Linked DNA regions of Struthio camelus. Each later gene encodes a partner of the first gene's protein in a complex. Links are inferred from orthologs where the notes say so. Each region holds a gene or a part of one and is shown on either strand. Other genes may lie near its edges.

Region 1 (7,999 bases):
TAGCTACTGAAATCTCACTAGTCTACCAGTCTATGACTACCCGTACTACATATGGATGAGTATTTACAAATGATGGCGGTGCCTAGATATCTGTTGGGTGATGACTCTGTTGTTCCTCGTGCTCTACAGAGCCGTAAGAACATTTCCTCCCTTCTTAATGATAACAATTACTGTTGAAATATTGGCTTTTGAAATTTGGAACTTTGTAGCTTCAAGGGGAAAGCGGTAGAAAGAGGTTATCACGTTAACTTGCACTTTTCCTCTTTCCCTAGCAATGTTATGAACTACAGATTGTAGGAATTTGTCTTACAGTATTAAAGTTACACAGCCTTGTGAACTGATTACTGTATCCTGTATTTGCAGATGTTACATTGTTACCAGCACCCATCAGCTTTCATTAGCAATGTAGACACACTGCAAATGTAGAAAATACTGGGCCTGCACTGTATTTCGTGATAAATTCCAATTTCCCTGCTACTATGATGGAAGCAAAGTGGAGATTTGATGAATGAAATTGAGACTCACCGTGAAACAGAGCAACAGCTTTGAAGAGCTGCCAGATTTCAGCAAAGGTGAAGAAGAATGAAGTAGACATTTCTGAATAAACTACCTTCCCCTCTTCAAGACCAACCCCCCATCTTATAAGTTCTCTTCTCTTATAAATTATCTTCCGTCCTTAATGGAATGGGAGACAGACGGCACAGCGTAGACAATTTATGGTTGTTAAAAGACAAACCACCAGAAGACAAATATGTCTTTACAAATGAGTGTTAAGTGATATTTCAGAGAAAGACTACACATCATATTCACACAGATGCCAACAGGAAGCACAGTTTAGAAACAGAAAAGCTTTAAGATAATCTCCACTTTTTATGAAGCCAAAACCTCAACATCACTAACACATCTTAACTCATTTTCAGAATTTGCCCCATATCATTTGATGCCATATCATTTATATGTTTCATACTTTAGCACAGATTTTTTAAAGAGTTTTATTCAGTAAAATATGCAAATACACACACACATACCTACATACAGGCACACACATCCATACATATATACATACATACATACACGCACACCCACCCACACCCACATATATATATATAAAACTCACACCTATAAGTATATCATACATCAAATCCTTAATACATATCGGGGGACAGAGGTCTAAAGTGGGAATTTTCAAAAACGCTCAGTATAGGTCTCACTAGTCTGTTGAAGTCAATGGTAAAACTGTTTACTATCAATGTGCATGAAGTGACGATAATGTTTCTGGAGGCTTGTACCTCTAACTATACCAGAAATTATGTCATTCGTCACTAGTTAGAGACACTGGTGAACATTTCTCATGTAGATCTTTCAGCTGAAGTCTTCTGCCCGTAGCCATCGATAAAGACAGTCACAATTTAACCAGCTGGAGAAAAGAGACTACATAGTGGCAGCATATAAGAGTGATTTGATAGAGTATTTGTAAGAGGAATATGCTGTAGAAAATTGTTTTCTTCTTTCTCCCTCTAGTCGTGAAAAAAGGGCTCTCACTGTGTTGTAAAACTTATCCTCATTTGGAAACTTTTCTACCATGTATTAAGAAAACCCAGCAATACCTAAAGTTGAGATCCATCAGCTGTATTTGGACTCCTGCAAAGGAACACCTGGGTGTGAAACCTTAGAAGCAGGTGCCTCTAACTGAATACTCAATGGCTATAAAAAAAAAAAAAAGAATAAAAAAGCAAGTGCGGGAAAGAAAGAAGAAAGAAATTAATCAGTCCAATCAATGATACAAGGTTCAGAAGTAGGGATATGAATGAAGTTTCACAAAGGAGATTAACGAATATGCATGGTCAGGTTTCCTAAAACCTAATGTCTGTACCAGATCTTTTCAGTATAACTGGTGGTTTCTCTATCAGGAATGTAATTGAAGTTCAGGCTTGATCTGAAAAACTGTAAAACTAAATGGCGCGGTGGGACTCCACTCTGATGGGGGTGGATCTTCAGCTGATGTATCACTTTACTCCCTTGATTTCACTGAGCCTATGTGGAATTACAGCATCACGAAATACAGCTCATTTGTCTCCAGGAGCATTGTCTCAGGTTCATTGCCGTACAGCTATAAGGGTGGGAAAGGCAGAAGGGTGTTATGTCTGCCGTGAAAGCTCAGTCTGGGAACTAGAAATCTGGGTGGGCACTTCCTGGCATGTTTCCACTTCACAAACCAAATGTTTCATTTCTTAAACCTAAATGCACCCGTCTCTAAGGCTGTTTGTAGCATTGCTGCTTCTCATATTATGACCTCAGGAGTGCTGACGCTACGGAAGTTACGGTAGCAGGTCTGAATGCAGTGTTCAGAGATAGTGGGATGGTTCTCCAGGTGGATAATGAGTCAATTGTCATGTTGATGAGACACAAACCGTAACTGGGCCTTAATGGCAGACGCAGTGCAGTTACACAGAGCTCACGGCCAGGACGACTGACCCAAAGACTTTCCTTGTAAAAGGAGGCACCTGCAAACAGCCAGTTTTATGAATGAGCTCTTCAGTTTAGGGGTGTACAGAAGCTATTGTGAACACTGGAAGCAGGGCATCACGCTGAAGGACTCTTGGGACTACCCTCCTGCCTTTGCAGCGCGATAGCTTCCTGCCTGCGGGTTCACCTCCGATCAGCATGTGACCTATGGACGCAAAGTGACAAGATATACAAAGTCTTGCATGCCTGACCTGTTTCACGTGACAGATCTGCTGTGGCTATCTCTGCATAAAAGCCTTCTGCAGCGCCACCCTGCTCGCTCAAGGGTTCACTTCTAACACAAACGTCTTTTGAGGGAAAAGGGGAACGACACTTTCAGAAGCTTATTCACTAGGGCGCTTGTGGATGGAGGCTTTGGTTGAAAAGAAATTGTATGCATTCTGGTGAGAAATCTGCATGTGCGCCAAGCAGAGCGGGGAAGGTGCTGGGATGCGTGTTTTTGAGGTTCTGGTAGGGGATGCCAGTGCATGCGGGGACACGCTATGAGCCCTTCCTGTCTTCACTTGGGACCTTGTGCAAACAAATGGTAAGACAGAGCCGCTACCCCGGGTGCTCTCAATCTGAATAGACTAGAGAGATGAAAAACTAGGAGAGGAAACATGTTTTCCTGTGTGAAGCATTAGTTTTTTATGACCAAGAGAACGGAAGACTGTGTGAACTGACAGGCGGAGAGGAGGCAAACCTACAAGACCCTCTTGATATCAGATCAGAATATATCCAGGCCTTTGGAACAACCATAAAGATACTTCTCCCTTATAAGGTCCATCATCCTAATATAGAAACCTCCTGGAGATAAAGCGAAGCTGGGCATACAGTACAACCTATGCTCCAGGCACAGGGAGTAAGTGTTGAGGCAAGAAATGACTTTTTCCTGGCATGACCCACTACAGATTGAACTGGAATGGCAATTAGAAGTTGAAGTGCTCATTTAATGTCAGTGATGTGTAAACTACATTGCCATTGTTATTTTAGTGCTGATTTACATAATTGGCATACCCTGAAGTCACACTGCATGCACTTTAAGTTCATGCTAAAGAGTTGCAGGAAGTCATAAAATTAAACATTATCTGAAATGGAATGCAACAGAAAAGTTACTAAACTTTTGAAGGATTTCATTTTGGTCTGTGTCACATCTCCTGCCTGTGGCCCTGGGCACGGCAGCGAGCGAAAATCGGAGGTTAACAAGTCCTGGGACTTGTCTGCATGGAGAAAGAAGCTTTACCAGCTCTTTAATTATATTGGTGTAGTTCTAAAGTGGTTTTGCTACACTGGTATGTAACTCTCCTTGTTAACATTTCCTTCCAGGAGTGACGTTTTGCCAGTATAGCTTAAGTCAATCTAAGGAGATAGGAAAGCCAAAATAAGAGGGTGCACATGAGGAATTGCTGCACTCTAACTGTGCTGAATTGTTGCCTCAGACTGGTAGTTTTCCTCTGCTGAAAAGCCCTAAGATGGAGGGAAAAGGCCGCTCCCAAAGGAGGAGCTGGTAATGGAGCTCAGTTGTTATTGCTTTAAATCCTCCTCCGCACAGTAATTCAACGTGTCAAAGGCTGTCTGTGTCTTTTGCAAATGAAGCCCCCGAGAGGTATCCGAGCAGGAGGCGCGGCGCTGCCGCCGGGTCCCCCGGCTGGGGTCGGTGCGCTGGCGGCCGCAGCTCCCAGGACCCTCGCTCGCTCGCTCGCTCGCTCGCTGCCCGGGCGGGGAGGCGAAGGGCCCGGCCCCGCCGCGGAGCCCCGCGGGACGCGCCGCCGCCCGCGCTTTGCTCCGGCGCCCGGCGGCGAAGTGACTTGTCCGCGCCGGCCGCGGGCGCCGCCGGCTGCGCGCGGGGCCGGACCCCGCCGGGCGGCGGCTGCGCCCCTCCCGCCGCGGCCGGGGCCGGGTGCCGCGGTCCGGCCCGGCCGCAGGTGCCCGAGGGGGCGGGAGGCGGCGGCCGGCGGGGACGGCCGCGGCCCGGCGCAGCTCCGGCGCGTTTCCGCCACTGGAGGGCACCAGCCGCATCTCAAACACCCGGCGCCGGCGGCGGCGGCCGCGCACGGCCCCGGCAGCCCCGAGGGAGGGCGAGGCCGCGGGAGCCGCCGCACCTCCGCGCGGCGCGGGGCGGCGCGGGGCGGGGCGGCGCGGACCCCGCGCTCCGGCGCTCCGCGGGCGGCCGCGCCGCGCGGAAACGTCGGGCCGGCGGCGGCGCGGCCGCCCGTGGGCGCGGGGCCCCGGCGGCACCTGCCGGGAGCGCGCTCGGCTGCGCGGCCCGGGGCGGCGGCACCGGCGTCGCAGGGCGCGGAGCCGCTGCCGGCCAGGCGAGGCGAGACCAGCCCGCGCCGCAGCCTAACGGGCCGGGCCGGGCCGGGCGCCCCGCGCCGAGCCGAGCCGAGCCCCGGGCGGGCTGGGGGGGGGAGAGGAGGGCGGGCAGGAGGGAGGGAGGGCGGGCGGGAGGCGGCGTCTCCTTTAAAAGCCGTGCGGGGCCGCAGCCCGCTCCCACAGGGCGGCTGTGATTGGCGCGGGCCCGCGAGCCTCCGGGGTCGTGACATCGGCGCGCAACAAAAAGCCCCGGCGGCGGCGCCCGGCCACCTCCGTCAATGGTGCGGTGCAGGGGCGGGAGCCGGGCACGCCTGCACGGCGCGCGGAGTGTGCACACAGAGCGGTCCCCGTAGCGCTGCCGCCGCCGCCGCTCCACGCGAGCCGCGAACAAACTACTCCCCACCCTTTTTTTTTTTTTTCTTCCCTTCCTCCCTTTCCTTTTCCCTCCCCCCCTTCCTCCTCCTTTCTTCTTTCTTTTTAAGGCAGCGGAGAAAAGTCAAGCTTCATCTTAAATGTTGCTGCGGGAGTCTCAGTAAATGTCCATCTGTCTGATGCTGATGATGCAAAGGACATTTTTTAAAAGGAGCCTTTTAACTCCATAGACACATAGGCACCCATTCACGGGCAGGCACACGCACACACACGCGAGGAGGAGGAGGAGGAAGAAGAAGAAGCAACAACTTTCTGATCGCTGCTTTTAAAAGGGAGAAGCCCTTCCCTGGCTGGGACTTGCCTTCTGCCTCCCAAGCCAGCTGCTAAAAGTATGTTTCTGAGGCGGACCGTACTTCAGGGAACTTCTATTTTCTGCTCGGCAGCTGTAGAGGAGCAGCAGCGAAGTTTGGAGTAACACCAAGTGATGCGGGAAAAACACCCCGAGAGCAGAACACCCTCCTGCAGACACAACCCCCGCTGCTGCACACAGGTATAACCCCGGCGGTCGCAGATCCGCTGCAAGCCTTCTCCGCAGGATGACTCCGTGGGCCACGGCGGAGGTGCTAGCGCTCTGGAAGAGAGAGGGGGGACGGGACACTAGTCATAACAGTAATAATAATCCAGCGCAGAGTTTCACGGGGGAGAAGAATATCCTGTGGGTTTGGCTAAGGACGTAGCAGGATTTCCCTCTTCCCCCCCCCCCCTCCTTCTTCCACTCCGCCGAGAGAAAACACCTCTGCCTCTCTCTGCGCGCGGGGAAGCCTCTGCCCCGCCGCGGAGCCGGGGAAGCGGCGCGGGCAGGGGCGGCGGGCCGGGCCGGGCCGGGAGCGGCGCGGGCAGAGCGCGGCGGCAGCGGACGGGACGGGACGGACGGGCCGGGCCGGGCCGAGCCGAGCCGGGCGCACACCTGTGCCGCGGCGGCCGCGCTGACAGCGGCCGCCTCCTCCTGCCCTCAGCTCGGCCCGCTTTGGTGGCGGATCGCCCCGCTCCCCCCGCCCCGTCCCGTCCCGTCCCGTCCCGCCTCGCTCCCTTTGATCTCCTGCCATGGGGATTTTCGTGCCTTTCTCCGCCGCGCGCTCCCTCCGAGCACCTGAAACCTGCCTGCCCCGCGCCGCCTGACGGGGCCGGCGGCGGCGGCGGCGGGGGGGAGGGGGGGTCGGGGTCCGCGCCGCGGCCGCAAAGCGGGGGGATCCGCGGTGGGAGCCACCTGCGGGCCGTGCCCGCGCGGCGCCACCGGCTCCCATCGCCTCCTCCTCCTCCTCCGCGCAGGTTGATCATGGTTGCCGCCACCCGCTGCCTCCTGGCGCTGCTGCTCTGCCAGGTGCTGCTGGGCGGCGCGGCCGGCCTCATGCCGGAGGTGGGCCGGCGGCGCTTCAGCGAGCCGGGCCGGGCCGCCTCGGCGGCGCAGCGCCCCGAGGACCTGCTCAGCGAGTTCGAGCTGCGCCTGCTCCACATGTTCGGGCTCAAGCGGCGGCCCAGCCCCGGCAAGGACGTCGTCATCCCCCCCTACATGCTGGACCTCTACCGCCTGCACGCGGGCCAGCAGCTGGGGCAGCCGCCCGCCCTCGGCTACCCGCTCGAGAGGGCCGCCAGCCGCGCCAACACCGTCCGCAGCTTCCACCACGAAGGTAGGTGGGCAGGGGGGGGGGCCGCGGCGGCGGTTGGGCGCGGGCGGGGGCCGTTGGCGGTTGGCGGCGGGGGGCGGTTGGGCGCGCGCGGCGATGGCGGCCGTTAACGTGCGCGGCCCGCGCGTGCGGCCGTGCCGGGCGGCGAGCGGCCGCGGGACGGGGGAGGAAAAGGGGCCGGGCAGGAGGAGGAGGAGGAGGAGGAGGAGCGTCGGGGGCAGACTCCTGCCCAGGAGGGCATGCCTGCGCTCGGCCGCTAATGAAATGCGTTTTGTCGAGTTTACAGGAACGGGGGTACTCGGTTTTGCTTTAAAAGCCCCGCTTAGAGGACTCTGAAGTTTCTGTTCCTGACGCGCTTATTCAGCAAAGCGCCTTCCTCCTCCCCCTTCCCCCACCCCCCACCCCCCCCCCCCCGCAGCCGATGAGGGGCCCTTATTTTATTTATTTATTCTGCGAAAACAGACCTGCTCCAAATTAAGCCTTCCCACAGATAGCTTTTCTTTCACAAGGCCAAACACCAGGAAAAAGCTCCCTAATTCACAGCTGAGCTGGGGTCGTTTGGGAGGTTTCTAATCCTTATCTAATCCCCGTGAGAGATCAGTGAAACAGTCGATTGTGGCGTTTCCTCAGCGGCTTTCTTGCCCCCCCCGTTGGGTTGAGGAGCACCTCAGCCTAGACCTGAGCCACACCACGAAGGAGGCGGGCGGGCGAACAGGCTGGTAAAAGCCTGGCTGCCGGATTTCAGGTGCACCCCAAGACCTCAGGTAACCTGGCCGAGCCTTCAGCAAGGTGCCAGATGGCTCTGCAGAGGCCGCGCGAGGTGCGTGCCCACCAGAGTGCTCTGGGGTCCCCGGGCACGGCCATCCCGTCCTCGCCGGGCCCTCGGAGGCGGCAGCGGCGCCATGTTGGCCCTGTAACGCCACCGCCGGCTCGCGCTTTGGTGAGGCGCTGAGTGCCTTCGGCTGCCTGATGCGCCCGCTTGCCGCTTCGGTGACTGACTAAACGCACGCAAAGGAGATTACCTTCAAAAGGAGGCTCTCTGGGATAGCGGCGTGTTTTTGTTTTCTTCCTCTCGCCCCCGCTCCAGTGACTGACTTAGTCGGTGCGCTTGCCCGGACTGA
Region 2 (6,854 bases), on another chromosome or scaffold:
GTAACCCCAAAATGCACCAAGTATTTAAGCTGTGGGAACAGTTTCCTGTTTCCTCCTGCCTGTTCTGCACATTGGAGTCTCCTACGCTGTTTTCCAGTTCTGTACCATGCTCAGTTCCACATCGCACTTGTTGGACTGAAGACTGGCCAGGGCTTGCAATGCTAATGAATTAATGCTTTTTTGCCTTTTTACTATCAGTGCTTCAACAGCAGAAGTTTTTTAAAAACACCTTTCCTCACAGATTTGAAACTGGCTTATTGAATTCATTATGCTTACATTTAACACATTTAATAAAATCTGTGCCATTCCTAAGTAACAGACAGCTGAATGGATTTATAATCAAAAGAACGTGCTTTCAAGTAAAATAATTCTGAAAAAAAGACTAAGCCAAATTCACATCATGTTAAGTGAAAAAATTATGTCCCTGGCTGAAGGGCAATAGTCTTTTAATATTTAACATGGAATATTTATTTTAGTAACAGTACCAGAAAAGCACTCATCTAATTGCAAATATATTTTCAAAAATATATTTGGCTTATACACTGTACTGTGGATTTTAGACATATGAATTCCAGAGACTGAAAGGAAGAAGGATATACCAAGATGAAAGCCCTATCACATGGATGACCTTCTCCCTATACATACCTCTTTGTTCTTAAAGAGCTTTTGATATTTAAGACTTGCATGTCCCAAGTGATTCCAAGACCTAATAAGAAATTCCTGGAGAGGAAATGACAAAGAAAGCAGCTGGAAGACTATCCAATTCATGACTTATTTAATTTCTTTTTAATACAGCTCTCTTCATCATGACAGTCAGTCTTGAACTACCACTCCTATATTTCTCGCTAGCCTTCCACATCCCTTCCTGTCCAAGTGTTGAATGAACATATGTTTATCTTCAGACTTTACTTCAGTGTCTTTGAGTGCTTCTCTACTTACAAAATAAGTACCTCATGTTACCAAAAACCGACGCGTCCAAGTTTTTGCAGATTTGACCAATCTTGACCAAGTGAATTGTCTGTTACTGATAACAAGCTTGCTGAGACCCTTTGTGTCTTTCTGACCACCTATCAGCTGAAGTGCTCATCTTCTGGTTTAAACAGATATCTCTACCTACCCCATAAAATAAAACAAAATAAGGTTTGATTCTTCATGTTTTACTTGACAAAAATCTTAGGTTAAATTTTCGCAGTTCGATTCATTAGGGGGTGTACAATTGGGTTCTTCAGGCACTATATAAAGAAAAACACTTCCATCACGTCCAGCATCACACGTTATGGCTGGGCTGCTCAGCAGTCCCCCTCTCACACACACACCACTGTATGATCGTAAAAAAGGAATTTTATTCTGCCCACATTGCTCTTATACTTTTGTTGTAAATCGTATGTTTCAAAAAATACTTTACACCTGTATGAATTTGAAACCACATCCTAAGCAACATTATTTCCGGCCTGACTATTGCTTGAGGCATCTTAAGTACGAGTGCCTTAAAAAGTACTAGTTGAGAAGGCAGTTCCTGTGACTTACTAATTTACTCATCAAGAACTGGATGAAACAATCGATCCATTTCACACGAGGAATCAGACAAATTTCAAGGTTAGTGGCTTTTGCTAAATTCAGGCATACTGGATTTAAATCAATACCCAACATCTGAAAAGCACGGGATTGTATTACCACATAGATTATTATTTAAAGAGATGCTAGCTCTAGCAGTTTTAGCTCTGGTTGGGAGCTCACATGCATGTCGCATTCTTCTTCCATATTGAGTGTCTATTCTGTTGCTATAATCTGATAGCAGACAGAGTGGAGGAACAGCAGACTCATATTTTCCTTTGAAATTATAAACATAAGCATACAAGTTCTGTATTGCTTGGCATGAAAGCTGTGATTTTGTCTTTCTTGCAGACTGTCTTTGTTTTGGACACTGACAAATTTTTCTGGATGAGGGTCATCGGAAAATTTTTTTCTAGAAGTTTAGTAAGACAAGACCTGTATTTTTAAATGCCTAAGACTGTAGTATCTGGCCGCCTGCACCTTACGAGGTGTGCCTTTACTTGGTTGCATTTTAAAGGAGCCTGCAAAGTTGACAGGTTTGAAATTATACTTCCTCTTTTGTTTTGCTATATGGGATAGTATGCAGGCTAAGCGCTTGCCTAGCAATCCATGAGTCTAATGCATATGAACTGTTCTTGCAGAGCCAGTGCTCTCATTTTACATCCTGAAGTGGTAACTCTAAAGTGGAGTACATGACATTTATGAATCCTATCTGATACTAGCATGCAAAAACGGAGCTAGACTGTGGAGAGGACAACACAGTAAGCAAGCCGTTGTTTCCCACACGATATGTACATGTGGCTATTTGCCACTCATAAGTGAGATTGTTTCTCAATGGTTACTCTCTAGAAATGGTTTATCTGGGCAGACCTCTTCACAATGGCAATTGCTGATGTGTCCTAAAGGGTGTTTTGGTCTACTTGCAACAGGAAAGTGAGTAGGTTTGTATGAGCTGTATGATCTTATTTGCCCCCTACCGTTGGCTTTACGTGCAAAGTTCTTGATGCAGAGGGTCCAATCGATATGGTATTAAAGGCAAGACCATGTCAACAAAACAACCGCTGTAATTTTGTTGAGTAAATGATTGAAAACAGCAGCCCACGTGGGAACTGTGGGGACTCCTTGTCATATGGCATACCATCATCAAAGCCCCTTCTGCACTGCTGTTGGGAGACACCACTTGAAGACAGACAGACAAGTTACGACTTTGCTAATTTGCCCTAATGACGAGGAGCTTGGAAAGCCAATGCAAATCATGGCCTTTAGCACACTTACCAATGAGCAAAGCAGCTCACTGCAGAAGTTATACTCTATCCCAGCCTAACTATCTGGGCTAATCTTTAGAGATACAGGAAGGGGAAAAAGCAAACCAACAATTTCGTCCATTGCGGTGGCACTACCCCTCTCCTGGCCCTGGCACGCCAGCCTTTCCAGAACTTAAACTATCTTTCCGCATAACTAAAAGGCCCCTTCAGGGCCCTCATTCTTCCCCTACAGTGGGGCGGCAATTGCCTCCTCGTTGCCCACTCCCGCTCACACCGTGGTCCCCTTACGCCACGTCAGGCAGGGCCGCTAAAACACTCCTCCACACCCCCTGCTCTGCGCGCCCTGCCAGCCATCCGTCCTCCGGGGCACCGGCCCCACCAGCTCCCTGGCCCAGCTTTCCGGCCCTCTGCCGCGCCCCCCTCACCCCACCTCGGCGCAGCTCAGCCCCCACGACGCCTGCTTGGCCACTCTTCGCCCTCGCACCTGGCTAGCGTCTCCTGGAGGAGCTCCTGCGCCCTCTCGCCTGGCAAAGCCACGCCGGGCACCCGCCTCTCCGCCTCGCCCGGGGCTCCGCCGCCGCGCTGGGCGGGGGGAGGCAGCGGCCAAGGCCTGCGCGGCCGCCCGGGGAGGGCAGGGACCACGCGGGAGGAAAAGCAGGCCCGGCTCGTTCCTCCCGGCCCACTTTCTTTCCGGGGGGCCCCGCCAGCCCTCCCGCCTACCGCCCGCCTTGATGAAGGGCGGAGGCGGCAGCCGCTGCAGGGGGCGGGAGCGGGGGGGGGGGGAGGCCGCGCCAACGGCCGCTGGTCGCGCGGGGGGGAGGGGGGCGCCGCCCCGCGCCAACGGCCGCCGCTCGCGCGAGGTGGGGGGGGAAGAGGGGGCGCCGCCCCGCGCCAACGGCCGCCGCGCGCGAGGCAGCCCGGCAGCGGCCGTTGGTGCGCGCGGCCGCGGCTGCAGTGATTGGAATGCGGCCGGGGCCCCGCCCCACCCCGCTCCGCAGGGACGGGCCGCGCCGCGCCGCGCCGGGAGCGCCGTGAGGGACGGAGCCTGCGCCGTGCCCCGGCCCGCCGGCCCTCCCACCCCCCGCCTCCCCCCGCACACCCCGCCTTCCCCGTCCGCCCGGAGCCGCCGAGGCCGCGGGAACGGCCTGCGGAGCGGAGCGAAGCGGGGCGCGGGCCCCCTCCCCCTCCGCCTTCGCTCGCCGCCGAGGAGGATGAGGAGCCCCCGACGCGGGTGAGTGCGGGGGCCGCGCCGCGCCTGCGTTGCCGCCGCGGAGAGGCGGGCATGTCGGGCCGTCGCGGGACGCCTTGCCCTGGCCCGGCGGAGGGGAGCGGGCGCCGTCGGGGCTGGCTGCCCCCGCCGCCCCGCGCCGCTGCCCGGCGGCTTTCCGCCCCTCTGCGCCCGCCGGTGCGGGCCGCCGGGCGCCGCGCAGGCCGCGGGTCCCCCCACCCGCCGCCCTGCCCCGCCGCGGCGCTGGGGGCGCTGCGCCGGCCCCGCCGCCCTCCGCGCCGGCGCTGGGCCGCGGCCGAGGCCGAGGGTGGCGCGGCGAGGCGCTGCGCTGGCGCCGGGCACGGCGCCCCTCGGCCGCGTTTCGGCGGCCGGCTGCCCCCGCGGCGGGGTGGGCGCGGGCGGGGGCCGGCCCCGGCCCCGGCCCCGGCCGGCAAGAGAGGCCCCGCTCGCCTCAGCCAGGGGCGCGCGCAGTAAGAAGCGTCGTCCGCCGTTCGTGCGCGCTTGGAGCCAAGTTACGCGCCGCCTCGGTCGGCCTGTTGCTGTCGGGTTATACGAAATAAGGAACAAAACTCTTCCCGCAAAGAGCGCTAGTCGCTGGGCCTACCTTAGAAGTTTTACTTGGTACGTTGACGGTAGAGGTCTTACGGAACAGCCGAAGGCTGTGCTGTTGAGTTGCGGTGTTCGGTGTCTTCCTGTAACTGATTGCAAAACCTAGGGAAGACGGTTAAAAACTTGCATGGCTCCCTACGGCCCTTTAGTTTTGTGAAAGAAAGTGAATTCGGCGGCAAAGAATGGCATTAAAGTGTGTTTCCGTGGAGCAGTCACCTGTCGTTTTGTGCTGAGGTTGTAGGGTGATTCTTTCCAGTGTGGATTGACTGCCTGTCTGACTCTTTTCATTCTCTGTGGACAGGTAAATATTTAGTGAATTCTTCATCCAGGTAGCTTCGTTGCAATTGCTCAGAGTCTGTTATCTGTAGGGATGAAGAAACTGCTTTTGCAGATAAGAGGAAAGTCATCTGTTTCAAGAAAGTTGCCTGATTTGTAGTAGAAACTAGTACTGGATAAAACATTGCGTGAGAGTAATTTATAGTCAGATGACATTGCAGTCTGCATGCAAAAAAAAATCTCCGTGTTGTGGCATTTGTAAATTGTTGGCAGTGTATTTGTCTCTTGTTACTGTACTTATGTTCCTTTTGTAACCTTTTCTTAAATTATTCAGTAGATTTAATTTTGTTATGTAAGTGCATGTCTGTGTTTCATATATATTTACATATAGGTGCACATGCATACGCCACAGTGGGCTTTGAGTTTTAGTCTAAGATTTTTTGTTGAGGATCCTCTCGCGTAGAGGTAAGGTTCAGCAGCCAGACTTAAGTATGTCCTATGGGCTCCTCAGTTCCCTTGACAGGGAATATATGTGGCTGGAGCTGCATCCTTCTTTCTAAAAACATGAAGTAATTTAGGTTGGACGGGACCTCTCGATGTTATGTGATCCAGCCCCTACTCCGTGTAACTTGGATTTTACTCATTAAAAGTTGTGCTTAACGGAATATTTTGCAGTTAGAGCTGCCACGATTTCTTGAAGTCATTGTAGAGAAACTAACTCCTAATGTTTTTGACGCTGCTTTTCAAAATCCTTACAGTGAGAATTGTGTGCTTTGTTAGGAGAATTAAAAATACTCAATATGGTAGAGTGTGTAAGCAATGTACCTACTGCTTTCTGGCTTCCAACATTTAGGAATCAGGAGTCTAAAATGTAGGTAGCATAACTAAAATAATTAACTTTATTCTTTCTGGTACTTCCTGTAGTTATTGAACTACTCCCTTATTTAAGTATTTTTTAGATGTGGATTTTAATAGCAGTATCCAAGTTTGAGAAAATAAAATGTTGACCACATTTGGTATTAAATATTGTGCCTTTTTGGATGTGCCATAAACTAGGTCTGATAATTTCTTTTAAAATGGACAAGTGTTTGCCATAGATGAGCTTTACTGGAGTATTATGCCAATAAAAACAAAAAGGATTTTGAAGAAGTAATAGATAGCTTTGTCTACTTCCTGGAGTGCTGAAAGGCTAGCACTTGATGGATTGCTTAGTGTTGTGGGGTTTTTTTGTTTGTTTTTTTTTTAAGTTAGGAAGTATGTTCTTATGCTTCTCCAAGAAGCAAGATATAGATTATGCAATTATATAAAGATTAATAAAAATATAGGGAAGGATTTGCTAAATATTCACTATTTTTATAACGACGGATTAGTGTAAGTTATCTTCATATTTTAGAAGAAAAAAAGTAGTGTGAAAACAGTGATGTTAAACCACTCTGAATCGAGGAAATCTCTCTTAAATCATTCAATATAATGAAGAACTTCTGCAGCTTTCTAAGGCATTGTGAAGCGCGAATATGTTACAGCAGATAAGAGGAATTCAATAGGTGCCCTCATAGAAGGGGTCAAAGAAGAGATACTAGCGCTTGCATGACTTTTGATATATCCAGACTTTCTAAGAGAAACAAACCCTGCCTCTCCAAAGACCTTGAAAACAAAACAAATCAAAAAGGGAGGTGGGAGCCTGCCTGCCTTGTTTGTCTTTGTGGCTGGTAACTTTTCTGATGAGGACAATATCTGTTTCCAGTAGCAGATGATGGCTGAGCATAGCAACTTCTTTGGCAGGGTGTTGAAAGGTGTAGATGGATAAATGAGACAAGATAGTGCGTGTGGGGTGCGGAGCACATTCAAAATGTGTATGTTTCTTCTGTGCTTGTGTAAAGGGTCAGCTGAAGATCTGCCCTTTCTATCTTGGCTATCTGGGA
Region 3 (7,326 bases), on another chromosome or scaffold:
CGCAGCTGCCAGGTTCTTCCCCGACCTTCTCGGGATCTTCCCTCTCCAGATGCGCAGCAAGATTTCTGGTCCTCCCAGCATCTGCCCTCCTTCAGGATCTCCTGAGCTTCCCAAGCCAAGGAGAAGGAAAGATCCAGGCTGGCAAAAGCCAAGGAAGACTAACTTAACTCAAGACATGCATCTTCACTGGTTATCCCATCTAGCTCTTTGCAGAGCCGGGAGAAGAGCCATTTCTCCCAGGCACAGGCCCTCGGCTCCCAGCCCAGGCCTCAGCAGCAGGAAGGCCCCTCGGCCAGGCTCTCCCACGCTCCGGGAGGCAGGTGCTGCTGGAAGAGGAGCCTGCCTTGCATTTCTAGCAGCGCTTTGTCCTCCCAACCTCGTTGCTTCTCTCAGAGCCTGGAGAAATCCCCGAGATCTCCAGCTACGTGTAGTCCTGCTGGGACCCAGTCCATCTCACAGGCGGTTTTGCTCAGAGCACAGGTTTGAAGCACAGGAACGCATGCAACAGGGTAGCTTTCGGCTCTCCCTCCCTTTTCTCTTCCCCTCCCCACTGGAATCCAGCTTTCAGGATCAAAAATACTACTGGCTATTTTTAAAGCATCGACTTCGCCCCTCGCTCCTCCAGCTTGCAGTGACAGATCGGGCTGTCGTAAAGTTCAGCTGTTTGCTGCTCCCGCTGCATCGAGCCCGGGGCGTTAACAGGCGTGATTCCCTCCTCGCTGCCAGCACTTCTGCCTGGCGGAGGAACCCGGAGGAAAATCCGCGCCACTGGGCTGGGACCTGCACCCGGAGGGGCGTTCGGCAGACCACCCCATCGCTGGCCGGAGCGGCGCTGGCCAGGGTAAGTGGAGCACTGAGCTCCTCTGCGGGGATTTGGGCTCTGTGTTTTGGGGAGGGAGGAAAAGGGGGCACTATGCCAAACGCTGTGCAAAGGAGAAGAGCGAATCCTTCAGGTGGACAAATGTCCCTCCCATTGCTGTGTCTGCACTTGGAGAGCAATGAGATTCTCTCCCAAGGAGCTGGCAAATCCCTCCAGTAAATCCTGGCTTCCCCAGGCGCTTGCATCTCCTTTTACACTAGTACCAATGCTTGGCTTTGATCTCCCCTGAGGCCTCAGCACCAGCTCCTGGCTGTTGTGCCATGGTCCAGGGTTGACATTCACTGCTTGTCTCATCCCCTCGCATCCAACCTCATGAGCTTGATTGATCTGGGCTTGTTTGCCTGGGAAAGGCTGGCTGAGCTCTCTCCGAGGGTGGATTAACCCAGGCATGTTCAAGAGATGTACTCTATGAGTTGCACTCGCCCCCTTCTCAGCAGAGCGACGCTTGCAGCACGAGATTTGTGGCTGCTCACATCCACTGCTCCGATGGAGGCAGATGAGCTCCTTTGAGACCGATGCCTCTTTAGATGCATTTTTCTCCCATCCATGCAGGCTGTTCTGGGTGCAAACCGGTGTCACTTGTAGCAGTGGGTTTGCAGACACGACTGGCACCAGCTCAGAGCCACGTGGGGGCTGCTTCCCCCGAGCAGACTAACACCCCCAAGCACTTGGCTTAAACCAGTCCCTTGCCAAACTCATTGCATTAGTGACCAGGCTAAACAGGGACCAGGACTGACCTGTGATGGCACTGCCTGTGCCTTGGGAGGGCAGACACTGCTCCGGCCACATCTGGCTTGTGTCAAATGAGACTCCGCTTCAGTGATGCTCACAAATTCCAAGTCTGCCCTTCTCCAGGGATTTCATGGCCGCCGTGTGCCGAAGCAGTAGCTCATCCGAGTGTTCCCAGCCACGAGGCAGCTTCTGCTTGAAGCAGTCCAGTGAGCCGTGCTGGGCAGGGAGGCGCTCGGGCGAGTGGCTCCGTGCATCTCCCGCCGCGCCTGCGGCATGCCAGTCCATTGCCAGAGCAGGATTTTTGCCATCCCTGCTCTGTGATTTGCAACAGGGTTTGGGGGTGAAAAGCAGCATCAGCCCACTCTGATCCACCCTGCAGTAGCAAAGCCCCAGGCCAGGGCTGCAATTACGGGCTCCCCTCCCGACACAGCACAGGGCTTGGGAAACCCTCGTCCACGGGTTTTGGGTGACACCAGCTGCTCCGCAGTCCCCACTGTGGCAGGATTTGGTGATCCAGCTGGCAGGACACAGTGCTTTGCACCTCCTAAACCTCCAGCTGATTTCATCAGTGGGAAGGGGGGAGTTGGTGTCCCTCAGCGGTTTGATCACAGATGCTTTTGTCTTGGCACCATGACTCTCTGCCAGCTCGGGAGAAATTCCCAGCCTCCTCATTCCAACATATGCCTGCAGCCCCCAGCTTGGAGAGCTGCTGCACATTGACAGCATTAAAACAATTGATGGCTCGGTTTCACGGCATGGACAAAATATGGCACGTCCTCAATTTCCAGTGCTGGGGAGACGCACTCACAACACCCAGTCGGTCGATGAGGCAGAAGAGAAGATCCTGGGACCTGGCCTCGGCAGCAACCTGGGTATCCCAATCAGATTCCTCCAGTCAAAGTTTCCCAGCCCTGCCCAGAGGCTCCGGACAAAGCGGGCGGGTGGGATGCCAAAAGGCCTCTGCTCTCTCCAAGCCCAGATGGTACCGTCTGCTGTTCCCAGAAGAATTCCCACCTGCCTGCCCCCATCTCCTGGCCCGCACGTAACCGATTCCCTCGGTCTGCGTCTGCGCCTGGGGCTCGCTGCGGGGAAACACGTGGCAAACAGATGGAGAGGACACCAGGCCAGGCCAGACCTCGGCAGGCTACACTGGGATTTGGGTATTATAATTTTTTTTTTAAACAAGATTTTTTCCACTGTCTTGTTATCTCAGGCCCTTGTTACCAGGTAACAGATACCCAGTGCATAAACACGGGGCAGGCAAAAGACCTCCAAAGCTTCCATGTGTCCCAGCAGCAAAGACCTGGGAGTCCCAAACCCCTTCCTCCACTGGGGGCTGCTGATGCCAATCCCAGCTGGGATTTCAACCCAAGCCTGCATTTTATTCTTTGTTTTCCTCTCCTCTAACCCTTGCCTCCAAGGAAGACTCCAACAGACTTAAACATGAGCCTGTGGTTGTAGATTTAAGCTTATTCTACAAGAAACAGCAGCCATTCGTCCTTCCTTCCCGTGTTCTCTGGAGGAAGAACAGTTTAGCAGCAGCTACAACCTAGTCAGAGTAGGTCAGCAGAGAGTCAGAGGGGGAAAAGCCCTTTCCCCCCCCATCATTAAACAAGAGCCCAAACTTGTCTAGAGGTGAAGAGCAGAAAATTGGACAATTCCCCCAGGAGGGGCATTGTGGTACCTGTTTCAGACAAATCCGGCTGTTAGGTCTCCCTCCATGTTCTTCCCCGTCCTCATAGGCTGGTGAAAGGCTCGCGGTGCAAACGCATTGAGGGCACTGCAGGTCTGTAAGGCTTCCCATCTCAGTGAAGATTAAGGCCTGGAAAACAGCAAGAGTTTGGGTTAGGAAGCAGGGAGATTTTTTCTGAAATGTTTCCAGAGGGGTTTATTGGTTCGTCAGCTCTGGGGGCGCTGAGGGACCTGCTTTCAATCCTCGCTCCAGCCTCAAGGGCCAGGAATCCTAGATGGACAAATCGCCCCAGGAGAAGCCTGATAGGTAGCAAATGAAGGATACCAAAACCATCTTCCTTGGATATTCAATTTTCTTTGATCCTGGCCTAGTACCTGAGCTACAACCCTCCCTTTCTCCTCCCTATGGCAATAGGGGTTTGCGTGGCCGCTTGCTGCATCTGAGCCCTTGCAGGCAGCTTTCAGCAAAGCCTGTATGGCCTGGCGTTCACCAACCCCCAGCAACGCGGGCCACCTTTGGCCCATGCCATGTTTGCACTCAGGACTCAGTGGGGCACCTGAAAGCCATTTGCTGCCCACCGTCCTCCCCATGGAGCAAAACAGGGCTCCTCCAAGCACTGTGGCCGGCCTGGGACCCAGCACAGCTCTGCCAGGTCCCCTCTAATCAGCCTGTGCCTCAGTTTCCCCCTGGAAGGAGAGCTATCAGGGAAATGATTAAAGACCCTGTTGGGAAAGCACAGTCACAGTGACTCAGTCCACAGGGCTGCAGCCAACCTGCTATAGGAGCCAAAAAGGGAAGGAAAAGCTGGTACCTTGGAGGCAGCCAGCTCACCCAGCCCGTGCTGCACAGCCTGGGGAGCTTCCCACCACCTCCATGGGCTCCTCAGCCCCCTGGCCACACACAGCCTCCCTCTGTGCCATGTGCCTGCTGTTCTTGGCTGGATTTGAGCCTGTCTAAATTTAGGCAGCTCTATTTCGACACCCATCCGCTGCCCCGCAGGGGGGAAGGTGACAGAGCAAAGGTAGCTAAGGAGGAGGAGCAGGGACCCAGCCGCCCCGTGGAGGGGCTGCATGAGCTGCACAGCACCCTGTGGCCCGGCAAGGCTCTCCCCAGCGGCACCCGAGATTTTGTCCGTCTGCGAGGCCATGCAGGTGCCTGGGACTGAGGGTGGTGTTTTCCCTGCTGCCCTCCCATGGATCTCCCTGGCCTTCACAGCAGGTAGAGCTAGGTGACAAGGACAAGCCAGCCCAGGTGCCCCCCAGGGAAGGAGCCTCAACACCAGGAGCCAGGTCATCTCCAGAGGAGGCCAACACAGGTAAGGGCAGGGATGAGGGTCTGAGGAAAGGGGAGAGCAGGACAGAAGCACACAGAGGCACCCCAGGGTCCCAGGTGCAGGTAGTCCCAGGAGAGCTGGGCAGAGGGACTGCACCGCTTGTGCCCTCCCTGGCCGACCCTGGGAGCCAGAGTCACCTCCGGCTCGCCGCTGCCTCTCTCCTCCCAACACCGCAAGGATGGGGACGTCCCAAAGACAGTCCTGCTGCCGGCAGGGCCTCTCCATCTCCCAGCCCTGCCAGAGCTGCGCTTCTCTGCTACACATTAACCAGGTGTTTATTTCTAAGCGTCACACCAGGGACAAGTCCCCTCCATGCCACCTCCTCCAGGGGTTTTGGGGTAGTGCTGAGAGGTCTCTGCTCATGTCCCTATGCCCCAGCTCCTCTCCACCAGCACACTCGGCTCAGCTAGTCCTCGCAGCCGAGAGCAGCTGGCAGCCAGAGCATCGCCAGCAGAGCTGGAGCGTGTTTTCACTCCAGACATCTGCCCCCTTCAGCCATTAATCCCGCTGGCAGAGGCACACGGGGGCAGCCAGCGCTCAGCTACGTCACCGCAGCAGCCCGCACAACTAATGGCATTTTTTGGCTGCTGCAGCCACAGCAAAAGGAGCTGAGAGATGCTAGGCAGAGCTGGTAGGACTGCAGTTTTGCATTTTTGGGGAAGGATGAGCCTTCAGCCTCTTTTCCCTCCTGGCTGTAGCCTGCACTTAATAGCAGCCACAGCATCAGTAATCACACACCTTGGGCTCCCCAGGTACCAGGCACATCCTTGTGGGCATTGGCCTCTGGCAACCGGCGTCTCACACAAGCTTGGAGGGGGAAATACTCATTTCACACACAGCAGCTTCCGAAGGACCTTTGCAAAAGGCTATCTGACTAACAAGTGACTAATAACCAGCTGTTAAAATCAGCCCCCGAGGACAGCAATACGCAGCCTCAATGAAGCAGAAGGGAAGATAAATTTAACCACGGCTGCACCTCCTCCTGCCGTGGCCAGCTGTCTGACATGATTAAGCGCGCACCGAGTGGGGATGTGCTCCTGGCAGTCCCCCTTCGGCCAGCTCGAGCCTCCCGGTGCGCAGGGAGCCAGCAAGCGCCTTCTCCGGCTTTGGGAACAGCCGCATGTTGCGTACAGGTTTTCGGCAGAGCCCGGAGTGCCGCCTCTCCCAGCGCTGCTCCTACCCCCTCGGATGCCACGTACTGCACATCTTTGTTTTTAACTGACCCTCTCCAGCCAGTATCACGGCTGGAGATAGCAGTGTGCCAGAGGTAGCCCATGCCGTACCCAACACTGCCTGGGTCCTTGCTGCACTCATCAGCTGCTCTCTTCCATGCCCCAAAGTCTCTTCGAGCCTGTGGGGCTAGCCAACCCATTCGAGGGTAGCTGGACATTTTAACTGCCTGACACACCGAACTACATCACGCAGCTGCCTCTGGGCAGAAGATGAGAACTGCAGGGGCTGAAAGCAGTTTAAAACAAACAAGCAAGCCCTTTGGGATTTTGCCTGAAAGCCTGCCTCCCCCCAGGAGCAGCAGCGATGCAGCCAGACCCTGCAGGACTGTGTTTTACAGCTGTCTGGACCCCAGCAGCTCCATACCTGCAGCTCCGGGCACCTCTTGCCACTGCTCGCTTTAGCTCGTGCATCTCAGAGCCCATCTATTCCTTGCTTCCAGGTGACCTGCCAAATGAAGCAGAGACAAGCCAGCGGGTGAGCAGCTCCCTCAGCTCTGGATGGATTGGAATGGGGACATCTGCCAGCAGTAAGAGCCCAGGGCAGCCGGAAACCCCCTGCTTCTTCCTGAGGGCACTCTTCCTCCTCCTCTTCTGCCATCATGGTAAGGAGCCAGATGAGCAGAGTCATGCCAGGGTCACATCCTTGGCAAGGGCAGCCAGAGGGAACTGCAGCCTGAGGGTACAGGGAGGGTAAAACCGTGGCTGAGCTCTCCTAAGAGGTGACTGGAGAAAGCAGAACATTGCATTTCATAGCAATCATGAGGCTCGGGCGCTATCAGAGCACCCTTGTCCCCGGCTCACCTGGAGGGAAACACAGGCAGCACTTCCCATCACCATCATCTGCCCCAGCAAGGAGAGCATCCTCCTGCTCTCCAGCAGCTTCTCTGGGAGCGCCCCTAACAGATTTGCCTATCTCCAGAGGTAAGGCAGGGGCAGTAGGGCCCAGAGTAGCACATCACCACTGTCCCCCTTGACCAGACGCCAGCCAAAGTCCACGCTCTTCCAGAGCCGTTTCCATCAAAAGGCACCAGCCGCATCCATCCCTCAGACCCTTGCTTTCCTCCTTGCACCCCAGAGCCTCTATCAGGAGGGCTCAGACCTGCACATCCCAAAGTTTAAACTCACTTCCCTGCATCCAGACAACAGCATGCTTTGAGCCACTCCTTCACCCAGAGCACCCCAGCCCAGAGGACCCCACCAGCCAGCATGTACCTCCTCCAAGGGCAGATCTTTTCTCCCTAGTGGGCAGCTGTCCGTTATAACCCCTCTGCCTAACAAGCTGAATGGTCCCTACTAGGCTGGGCTCAGCGGGCTCTTCGTTAGCCCTCCTGGGGCTGTGGCACATGGCTCTGCCTTCTGCAGCCCTGAGAAATCCCAGTTGAGGGGTTGGGTCACCTTGAGGCAGTGCAGTCCATCACGAAAGAGCGATTGCACAGCCTGGCGAGGCTTGAAAGGG
Region 4 (7,370 bases), on another chromosome or scaffold:
CAGCCTGGATAGGGAAGGTATCCGTCAGGGGGCTCATTAGTGCCCTACACGTAACTTTTGCAGTAACTTAATGGGGCAGGTGAAGGTGATGGCTTGGAGCTGGGCTTTGAAGGCAGACCAACTACTGCGTAGCAAAGTGCAGAGAAGCCAGTTCACTGTTTCAGGTAACGAACCTGCCCACAGCTGGCTCTGTGAACATTAGACTCACCGATGTGGCTACTTGAAGAGAGGCCATTGGGTCAAAGGTATAAGAAAATACAGCTTTGCAACAGCAATAAAAAAAAATAGTGTTTTTCTGACCTGCAACTTTCCATCCGCAGACAGTGATTGATTAAAAGCTTCCCTAAATAAAGCTGCTGTGGGTAACCCTGCTTTGGGCTGTCTCTTTACAGTGCCCGCTCCAAACAGCCAGCCATAAAAGTCACATCTAAATGCTCAAAACTGGTCAGGCTGAACAAGGGGCAGGAAAGATTGGACAGTGGAAAACCTCCACTCTCACTCGTGTCAGCAAGCAAAACAACAAAGTGGTATTTTCAGACAAACATTGAGTTCATCGTGTCAACTTTTTTGGCTGCTGGTATTTCATTACTTTCTCTCCCTTTCGCTTGCTCACAGCGCCTTGTGGAGTGAGACTCGGCTCTCAGGCAAAGGAGCCTGTAGCCGTCCCTTGTCCTGCAGGTCAGGAGGACTGGCTGGGACTCTTCTTCTGAGGATTTCGCTCTCTGCAAGGAGCTGGTCTTCTTGGCCCAGTATCCTCTTAGGAGTAAATACCAAGCATCATCTCTTTAGTCTCTGTTCTTCATGTCTGGGCTCCCATGTTAAAAAAACAAAAAAACATGTGGGCTGGGAGGTGCCCAAGAGCACGTTTGAATGGCCAAATGCCAGCTCAGCAGAAAGGACGGATAAATCTGAACTGCCAAAAATAAGTAGCGCAGAAAAATCACAGAGACCTGTATGTTTATCAGCAGAGACAGAAAGCAGTTTGTGTAGCAGGACAGCTACACATCTTTCTCTGCTGCTTTTAAAAATTGCTTGTGTTTTGAGAAAAATGCAAACATAGCTGCCTCTTTCTCCCCCTCTCCAACCAAACAGGTCAGCTAAGGACATCTCTGGTGTCTCTTCATTTAAAGGTAACAGGGCTCTATCTGAAAAATGGGGGGGGGGGGGGAACAGCAAGGGTTTGCAAATCTAGGTCTTGAGCACATTGAGGAAGGGGAGTTTGAAGAATCCTATGGAAAAAGCTCTCTGAATCCCTATCACCTTGCCCCCATCCCCTTGTGTCGATTCCTGACAGCAATGGCCAGAAATATAATCGATCACATGACGCCTTTCCTGTCCTCTCAGTTACAAAATGCTAAGGACCCTGATGACAGTGTCATCAGCCGATTTTAAACATTTGCCTGAATACCTCCTCGGAAAGAGACATTCCTTGTTATGGGAAAATGCCATAGCAAAAAATCTTGAATCCAGCACCTCTGTAGGCATTTCAGCAAATGACACCGGATTGCTGCGGTAGGTGTTTCTGAACAGGGAGCAGCTTTCAGACAGGCACATGTGCTTCCTCCCGGATTAAGTACAGCTCGGGGCTCTCATTCCCGCTGGGTGGTGCTGTTATCCCTAAACCATTTGCAAAAGTATCCAATTTATAAAATAAATGCAATCCAACGCCGCCTTAAACCACATGACATAACAGCAGCTTGCAAGCTCCCATTAAAATCTCAATTTGGGGAAATTGATTCTACCTCTGAGCAATTGCGATGCAATTACTCCAACAGGCAGCAATCAAGAATCACATCAAAACAACACCAAACTTTCATCTGCCTCACAGCCGCCACCACAACAAAAAGCACCTGTCTTGCAAACGCAACCCGGTTTCCTTAAACGTATATATATTTAGGTCCCTGAGTGGAAGCAAGTCTCGACGGGGGTTATGCTGGCTGCTGCCTCTGAAATGTCCTGACTCGGGGCTGTATTCTGCCACTTTGCACCTCTTCCTCCTTTTTTTCCTGGCTGAGGTTAAAGGGCTATCTAGGGAGCCGGTTCATCAGGAGGAAGGGAGCAAAGTCGAGCCCCCCGCGAGCGACGCCCCGAGCCGCGCAGCTCCCCGCGCTCCCGGCGCGCCTCCGCGGCCGCCCCGGCCCGGCTCCCGCGGCCGCGCAGCTGTCAAACCTCGGGCCGGCAGAGCCCTCCGAGGCTGAGACCACAGGATCTAGGGGACAGCTGGGCATCCCCGCAGCCGAGCCCCGCCGCTCTGCGGGAGAGCGCCCAGCCCCGTTAGGAGCTATCCAACGGGAAGGGCAAAATGCTGGGAATACGGGGTGAGGGGGTGGGGGGGAGTATTTTCAGTTCAGCTGAGTGGCCTCGCAATGAATTACCCCATGGATTTAAGCCCGGGAAGGTGCATATTAGTGGCAACCATCAACGGGAGGATGAATGAAGACACGCGTGCACGCCGGGCTAGCGCTAAAGCGGCCGGGGAGAGATGGGGCAGAGCAGCCGGGAAGAGCCGCGGGGTCTCGTCGAAACGCCTCGGAAGGGAGGAGGCTGATGGCAACGGGCAGCAGCAGCAGCAGCCTCAACAGGTCCCGCGGCGGCGCGGCCGGCAGCGGCGCTGGCAGCCGGCCCCGGGCCCGGGCCCGGCCGCGCGGGCAGCCGCGGAGGCACCCGCGGCCGCGGAGGCGCGCACGGCTCGGCCGCGCAGCAGCCCCGCGCAGCAGCCCCGCGCAGCAGCCCCGCGCCCCGCTTACCTTAGCGGCCGCATCAGCCTCGCCAGCCCGCCGCGGGGGAGGGGGGGTAGTGCAGGGAGAGGCGGCTGCTTTTCCAGGAGGGGAAAAAAAAAAAAGGAAAAAAGAGAGAAAAAAGAGGATGGTTGGGCGGGGGGCGGGGGGGGGGGGAAGAGCCCAAGCCCGGCTCGCAGGCGGCCCCCCCTGCCCTGCGCAGGGCAGCGCCGGCGGGGTGCAGCGCGGCCTCGCTCAGCGGGACGCGGGGAGCCGCATCGCCCGCCCGGAGCATGTGAGAGGCAGGCGGAGGCGATAGCGGCAGATAGGGAGGTCCCCTCCCTCCCTCCCTGCATCCCTCCCTCCGCCCGGCGGGGACGCGGGGAGCCGGCGGCGGCGAGGGAGGGCAGCGCAGCCCCGGCCGGGGGGACCCGCCGGGGAGCGGAGCGGAGGGATGCGTCACCCGCGGCCGTGGGGCACGGGGGGCTGGGGGGCTTGGGGGCTGCCCCCACCTCCACGGGCACGTCGGGGCACCTCGGTGGGGACAGAGCAGCCGGGCTGAGCATGGGCGAGGGGAGAGGAGCCGCTGCTGGGCGGTGGGGGCCAGGGTCCTCCTCCAGCTGCCCTGAGCCCCCGGTGTGAGCTTAGACTGAGCACCCGGCTCCCATCGAGGCCTGCAGGGGTTTCAGCATGTGTGGGTGCTGGGGTGCCTGCATTTGTGCTGCTGCGGTGGGAAGGCTGTGGTTGCAAGGCCACGCGAGCTGGAGTGTCACACGCACAATTAATTACTGCAGCCCCAGAGCCACAAACGCACTAAATACGCCTTAGTGCACCCATAGTAGTAGCCCTTTGCGAAGTGTTTCGTTCTCCTCGTTCTCTTTCTTTGCAATTCAAGGGGCAACAATTGTACGGAGCACACAGCAGCTCTCCGTGGCTTGATTAAGCCAGCAGCAAAGACAAAACGCACCTCTACAGCTCAAGTTTAAGGCTTAAGGAGGGTTCTCTGTGTGTGTTAGGTACAAATTAGAAAATAGATGTGATTAATCATAACAAATCTAAACAGCTCTGCTACAGAAAACTTGACGTCAAAGAGGTCTTTTTCTTAAACATGGATGCTATGCTTATATAGTACTGACAAAGGAACAATGTATTTGTGGATGAATTGGGAAAAAAGAACAGAGAAAAGACAGGGAGAAGTTTGATGTATACCAGATAAGTTATCTGGTATATAAAAAATGGCATCTTTCTGTAATAATTATTTGCAAATCAGTTTACAGTTCTGGATACTATAGTGTCTAGATACGACAGTATGGACAGAGCTGCCTCTGTCAGGCCTAGGACACTGTGCAGACAGGAAATCAAATGCAAACCCTGCCTTAAAGAAGGTAAACTTGCTAGTTAGAGGAGACCCAAGTGAATGTAAGAGACAAAGAGAAAGGAGTAGACGTGGTCGTGAGCACAGACCTTTTCGCAGGTGTGCACAGCAGGTTGGGCTCCAGTCCCACGCTGTGAAATACTGGGTGCTGGAGTGTTGCTAATCTGAGCACTTGGGGCCTGTGTTACCACGGTGGGGCGGAGGGGAGGGGAATCGCCACTACAAATACATATTCTCTGGTTATTCTGTGGAACTGTTCCCCCAAGGAGACAAAGCACAAGGCAGAAGAAAAGCTAATGCACGGGGCACTAAACATGCCTTGGTAACAACGGCAGCAGAGCATCATGGCAGCAGCAAACTGCTGCTGAGTTCACTCCCCATTGGGAAAAGTGAGCGCTGGAGCAGCAAGTTCCCACAGCGAGGCACAGCCTCTGCCAAGGGAACGCTCAGAAGTCTCCGCTGGCCACTTCCCCCAGCCCTTATCTGCACGCCGTTAATCTTCAGCATCGCACGAGGAGTTGGCACCTTCAGTTCCAAGTGCAAGGTGCATGTCTTTGACCTTGCCTTCTCTGCCATAAACAGCCAGCAAGGTGTAAAGTAGGTGTAGAGGCACACCTCTGAGGGCTCCTTTCTGTTTGCGCTTGCCCCCCACCCCCCCCCCCACCCCGGGTGCGAACAAAACACAACTACCATTTGATTACATTAGATGCAGCAGATGGAGGTGGAGCTGTGGAAGAGAAGGACTCGATAGAGAATGGACTCCTGGCCTTTTGCATTGGCTTTGAGGGCAATGGTGCAAATTTGCCCCTGCAGTGTAAAGTACAGCGAGGGGAAAAGTAAAGACAGAATATTTTGCTCTGTCTTTTCTTTGCTAATCCTGGGAATTCCCAATTTAGTGCCTGTGACCAGTTTCACCTGCTTTTATAAAAGATGAATTTGGCCCTCTCCTCGCACAAGGATCTGCTTGGCCACAAAACAAACAAAGCAAATAACGTCGGTACACTTTGTCCTTCCAGAAAAGATTAAGCCTACATGAATGAGTAGGCAGTTAAAGGAGGAGCTTGGCTGTGGGAGAAGATGGGTGGTAGTGTAAGATTGTCATGAGCAGACAGCTGGCTGTCCTGAGGAGCAGAAGGTGTGTGGGTGACCTGGGCAACTTGTAGGCTGTGCAGCGCAGCATGGATCACTCCACACCTTGTGGAAGTTAATGGAAGTCATCTTTTGGGGTTTGTGGACATTACTGGTTCAAGCTGCACAGGCCATGGAGAGCACAGAGCATAAGGGCTTTTCATTTGCCACTTCCATCCACACATCTGAGTCTCCTAAGCCTATTATTTTGAAGGCATGTGCCATGCTGCAGCTCTTCTCCTTGACCTCTGAAGGATGTGGCTGATCCTGAACTCAAGATAAAAGAATGCCACCTCATGAGCCGTGAACACCCGTCCGTGAGATTAGGCTCTGAATTATTAATACAATCAATGACTACCTCTTTTCATCCTAGAACAGGCGCAAAGGAAAGCTACAGGGGCGCTCAAAGGGAGGGACGATTCTCCAGCAAGCAGGGAGGAGTAACTTGTGGAAACCAATTTCCTTTCAGTGGAAACATCTCCCATGTCTGTTTTATTCTGGAGGTAGGAATGACAGCACCATTTGGAGCAAGGACCAGGAAAGAGGAGGTGAAAACCAAGCTGCGCTGCTGTGGCTGACAGCGGTGCTGCAGAACCCCCGTGGGGGTCCATGTGCCTGGCAGCCATCCTTCCCTCCATCCCCTTCATTGCATCGGGTGCATCAGGAACTACACCAGAAAGTGGTCCCCAACAGCCTAAACTGCGGATCTGGAGCATGTGTCAGGGAGATGTGACCATCATGAAGAGGAAGGGCTTGGGAGGGCGGGCAGCAGAGATGTGTTTTTCCTCACAGAAAGCCCAAGTGCCACGAAGCTACTTACAGCTATGCCCTGTTAGCCACGTGAGGAAGTGAGAGCTGATCTCCAAGGCAGGTTGTGGCTGTCTTTTGTGGGGTGAACTTTTCTGTACTAGGTTTCTTTACTGAGGGGACATCCTGGTTCTTTTCAGGTTGGAGCCTTTCTCCTTTCCCTTTGTGGATGCCGCTGTGCAGAGGTGCGGTCAACATAGGCTATTGTGTCTCTGTTCTGACTTTTACCCATTTCCTTGGCTTGGGCAAGTCCGCTGTATTTGAGACTTTCAGTCAAATTGGTTCCCTTCTGTTCCTTTCTCTATTTTATTTGGGAGGCAGGCACAACAGCCTCATCCTATACAAGGACCAGGAAAAAGAAAGAACTCCACAATTCAGAGCCTCATATAGGAAACGCAGCTAGCTGGAAACAAAAAATAAAACAGCATCTTCATTCTACTTTTCAGATTAAAAAAAAAAAAAAAAGAAAGAAAAGGTGCTGAGCTAGTAGAGCTATTCTTTCCAGGTAGATAAAGCAAAGCATTGCTTCAGAGCTGGTCAAAATGTCTGGAAAACATTTTCATTAAAGTTCAGATCAACATTACAAGTAAGATAAGAAAAGAAGTATGCAGTTACAATTATGTAGTGCTTTGTGATTACAGACAGATTCTGTAATCCTTATCCAGGGGCTTTTACAGTTCAGTTTAACTTATTTCAGTATGTAAAGTTGAGCCCAGACAACACTGCTCTCCTACAGTCCTCACCTGCGCTCTGGTCATACGAGGGACCGTGGCAGACCAAACCGCATGTCCAAGCAACATCTCCCAGACACATCAGCTGCCCTGGCTGAGGACCAAGCCTCCCTTTCTCCTTTGCAGCTGCTTATTAAGATTCTTCTGTCTATAACTTCTAAACTTACATTTGCTTTAAGCAGCAAAAAAGTGTTACTGGTTCACCTGGAGCCTGAGTAGCAAATGCACAGCATGACAACTGAGAAACACCAGAAGTGGCAAGAGTATTCTTGCAGGTGTTGCTAGAGAAAATATTCAGGTGCAACACAGAACTATAGCAAGGAATAATAATTCTGCCATTCAAAGTGTTCACTCACGCTGAGAGCAGTGGCAATGCCATGGAAAAGGCTCTGGGAATGAGCTGATCAGTGCCAAGAAGAGTGCTCGGCTCCATAGCGGAACAGCGAGCATTTCCAGGCTCTGAACTGGTCAGGGTGTCCTCTCCTGAGTGGGGCAGTGGTCCATGGGCAAAGCAGGAGTCTGAGCAGATGGAAATATTCTTCCCCCCTAACCAGTGCTTCTAAACTATCTGACTTCAAGTATTTGCTGTAAGCCCCAGAGCAGTCCCTTGGG

What was found.
Region 2: the proteins of BMP2 (region 1) and BMPR1A are in contact, whole or in part, in a crystal structure (PDB 2QJ9), measured with the Homo sapiens proteins. The link is inferred for Struthio camelus from reciprocal best matches to the Homo sapiens genes BMP2 and BMPR1A. Residues at the interface, in NP_001191.1 of Homo sapiens: Lys297, Pro330, Phe331, Pro332, Leu333, Ala334, Asp335, His336, Ser339, Asn341, Ile344, Val345, Leu348, Asn350, Ser351, Val352, Asn353, Ser354; in NP_001393490.1 of Homo sapiens: His66, Cys67, Pro68, Asp69, Ile77, Thr78, Asn79, Phe83, Ile85, Cys100, Met101, Lys102, Glu104, Gly105, Phe108, Gln109, Asp112, Arg120, Ile122.
Region 3: the proteins of BMP2 (region 1) and HJV are in contact, whole or in part, in a crystal structure (PDB 4UI1), measured with the Homo sapiens proteins. The link is inferred for Struthio camelus from reciprocal best matches to the Homo sapiens genes BMP2 and HJV. Residues at the interface, in NP_001191.1 of Homo sapiens: Phe331, Pro332, Ala334, Asp335, Leu337, Asn341, Ile344, Val345, Leu348, Ser351, Val352; in NP_001366281.1 of Homo sapiens: Leu40, Asn43, Tyr46, Val47, Tyr86, Leu101, Ala102, Ser105, Ala106, His108, Gly109, Ile110, Asp112, Leu113.
Region 4: the proteins of BMP2 (region 1) and RGMA are in contact, whole or in part, in a crystal structure (PDB 4UHY), measured with the Homo sapiens proteins. The link is inferred for Struthio camelus from reciprocal best matches to the Homo sapiens genes BMP2 and RGMA. Residues at the interface, in NP_001191.1 of Homo sapiens: Val308, Gly309, Trp310, Asp312, Trp313, Met371, Tyr373, Leu374, Asp375, Glu376, Lys383, Tyr385, Met388; in NP_064596.2 of Homo sapiens: Arg91, Arg94, Gly95, Leu97, His100, Ser101, His104.

Annotation. Positions count from the first base shown.
Region 1 is NC_090944.1:130,843,568-130,851,566, reverse strand, and holds the start of BMP2 (bone morphogenetic protein 2), read left to right. Parts: upstream 1-4,981; 5' UTR 4,982-5,743; intron 5,744-6,522; 5' UTR 6,523-6,529; coding exon 6,530-6,881; intron 6,882-7,999. UniProt on the Homo sapiens protein: Growth factor of the TGF-beta superfamily that plays essential roles in many developmental processes, including cardiogenesis, neurogenesis, and osteogenesis. Induces cartilage and bone formation.
Region 2 is NC_090948.1:33,513,670-33,520,523, reverse strand, and holds the start of BMPR1A (bone morphogenetic protein receptor type-1A), read left to right. Parts: upstream 1-3,841; 5' UTR 3,842-4,050; intron 4,051-4,649; exon of another isoform or gene 4,650-4,668; intron 4,669-6,854. UniProt on the Homo sapiens protein: On ligand binding, forms a receptor complex consisting of two type II and two type I transmembrane serine/threonine kinases.
Region 3 is NC_090971.1:3,033,279-3,040,604, forward strand, and holds the start of HJV (hemojuvelin), read left to right. Parts: upstream 1-4,314; 5' UTR 4,315-4,620; intron 4,621-6,234; exon of another isoform or gene 6,235-6,310; 5' UTR 6,311-6,378; coding exon 6,379-6,472; intron 6,473-7,326. Other genes in the region: uncharacterized protein, read right to left, coding at 1-138, 3,297-3,416. UniProt on the Homo sapiens protein: Acts as a bone morphogenetic protein (BMP) coreceptor. Through enhancement of BMP signaling regulates hepcidin (HAMP) expression and regulates iron homeostasis.
Region 4 is NC_090953.1:7,625,344-7,632,713, reverse strand, and holds the start of RGMA (repulsive guidance molecule A), read right to left. Parts: upstream 3,011-7,370; 5' UTR 2,762-3,010; coding exon 2,748-2,761; intron 568-2,747; exon of another isoform or gene 315-567; coding exon of another isoform or gene 301-314; intron 1-300.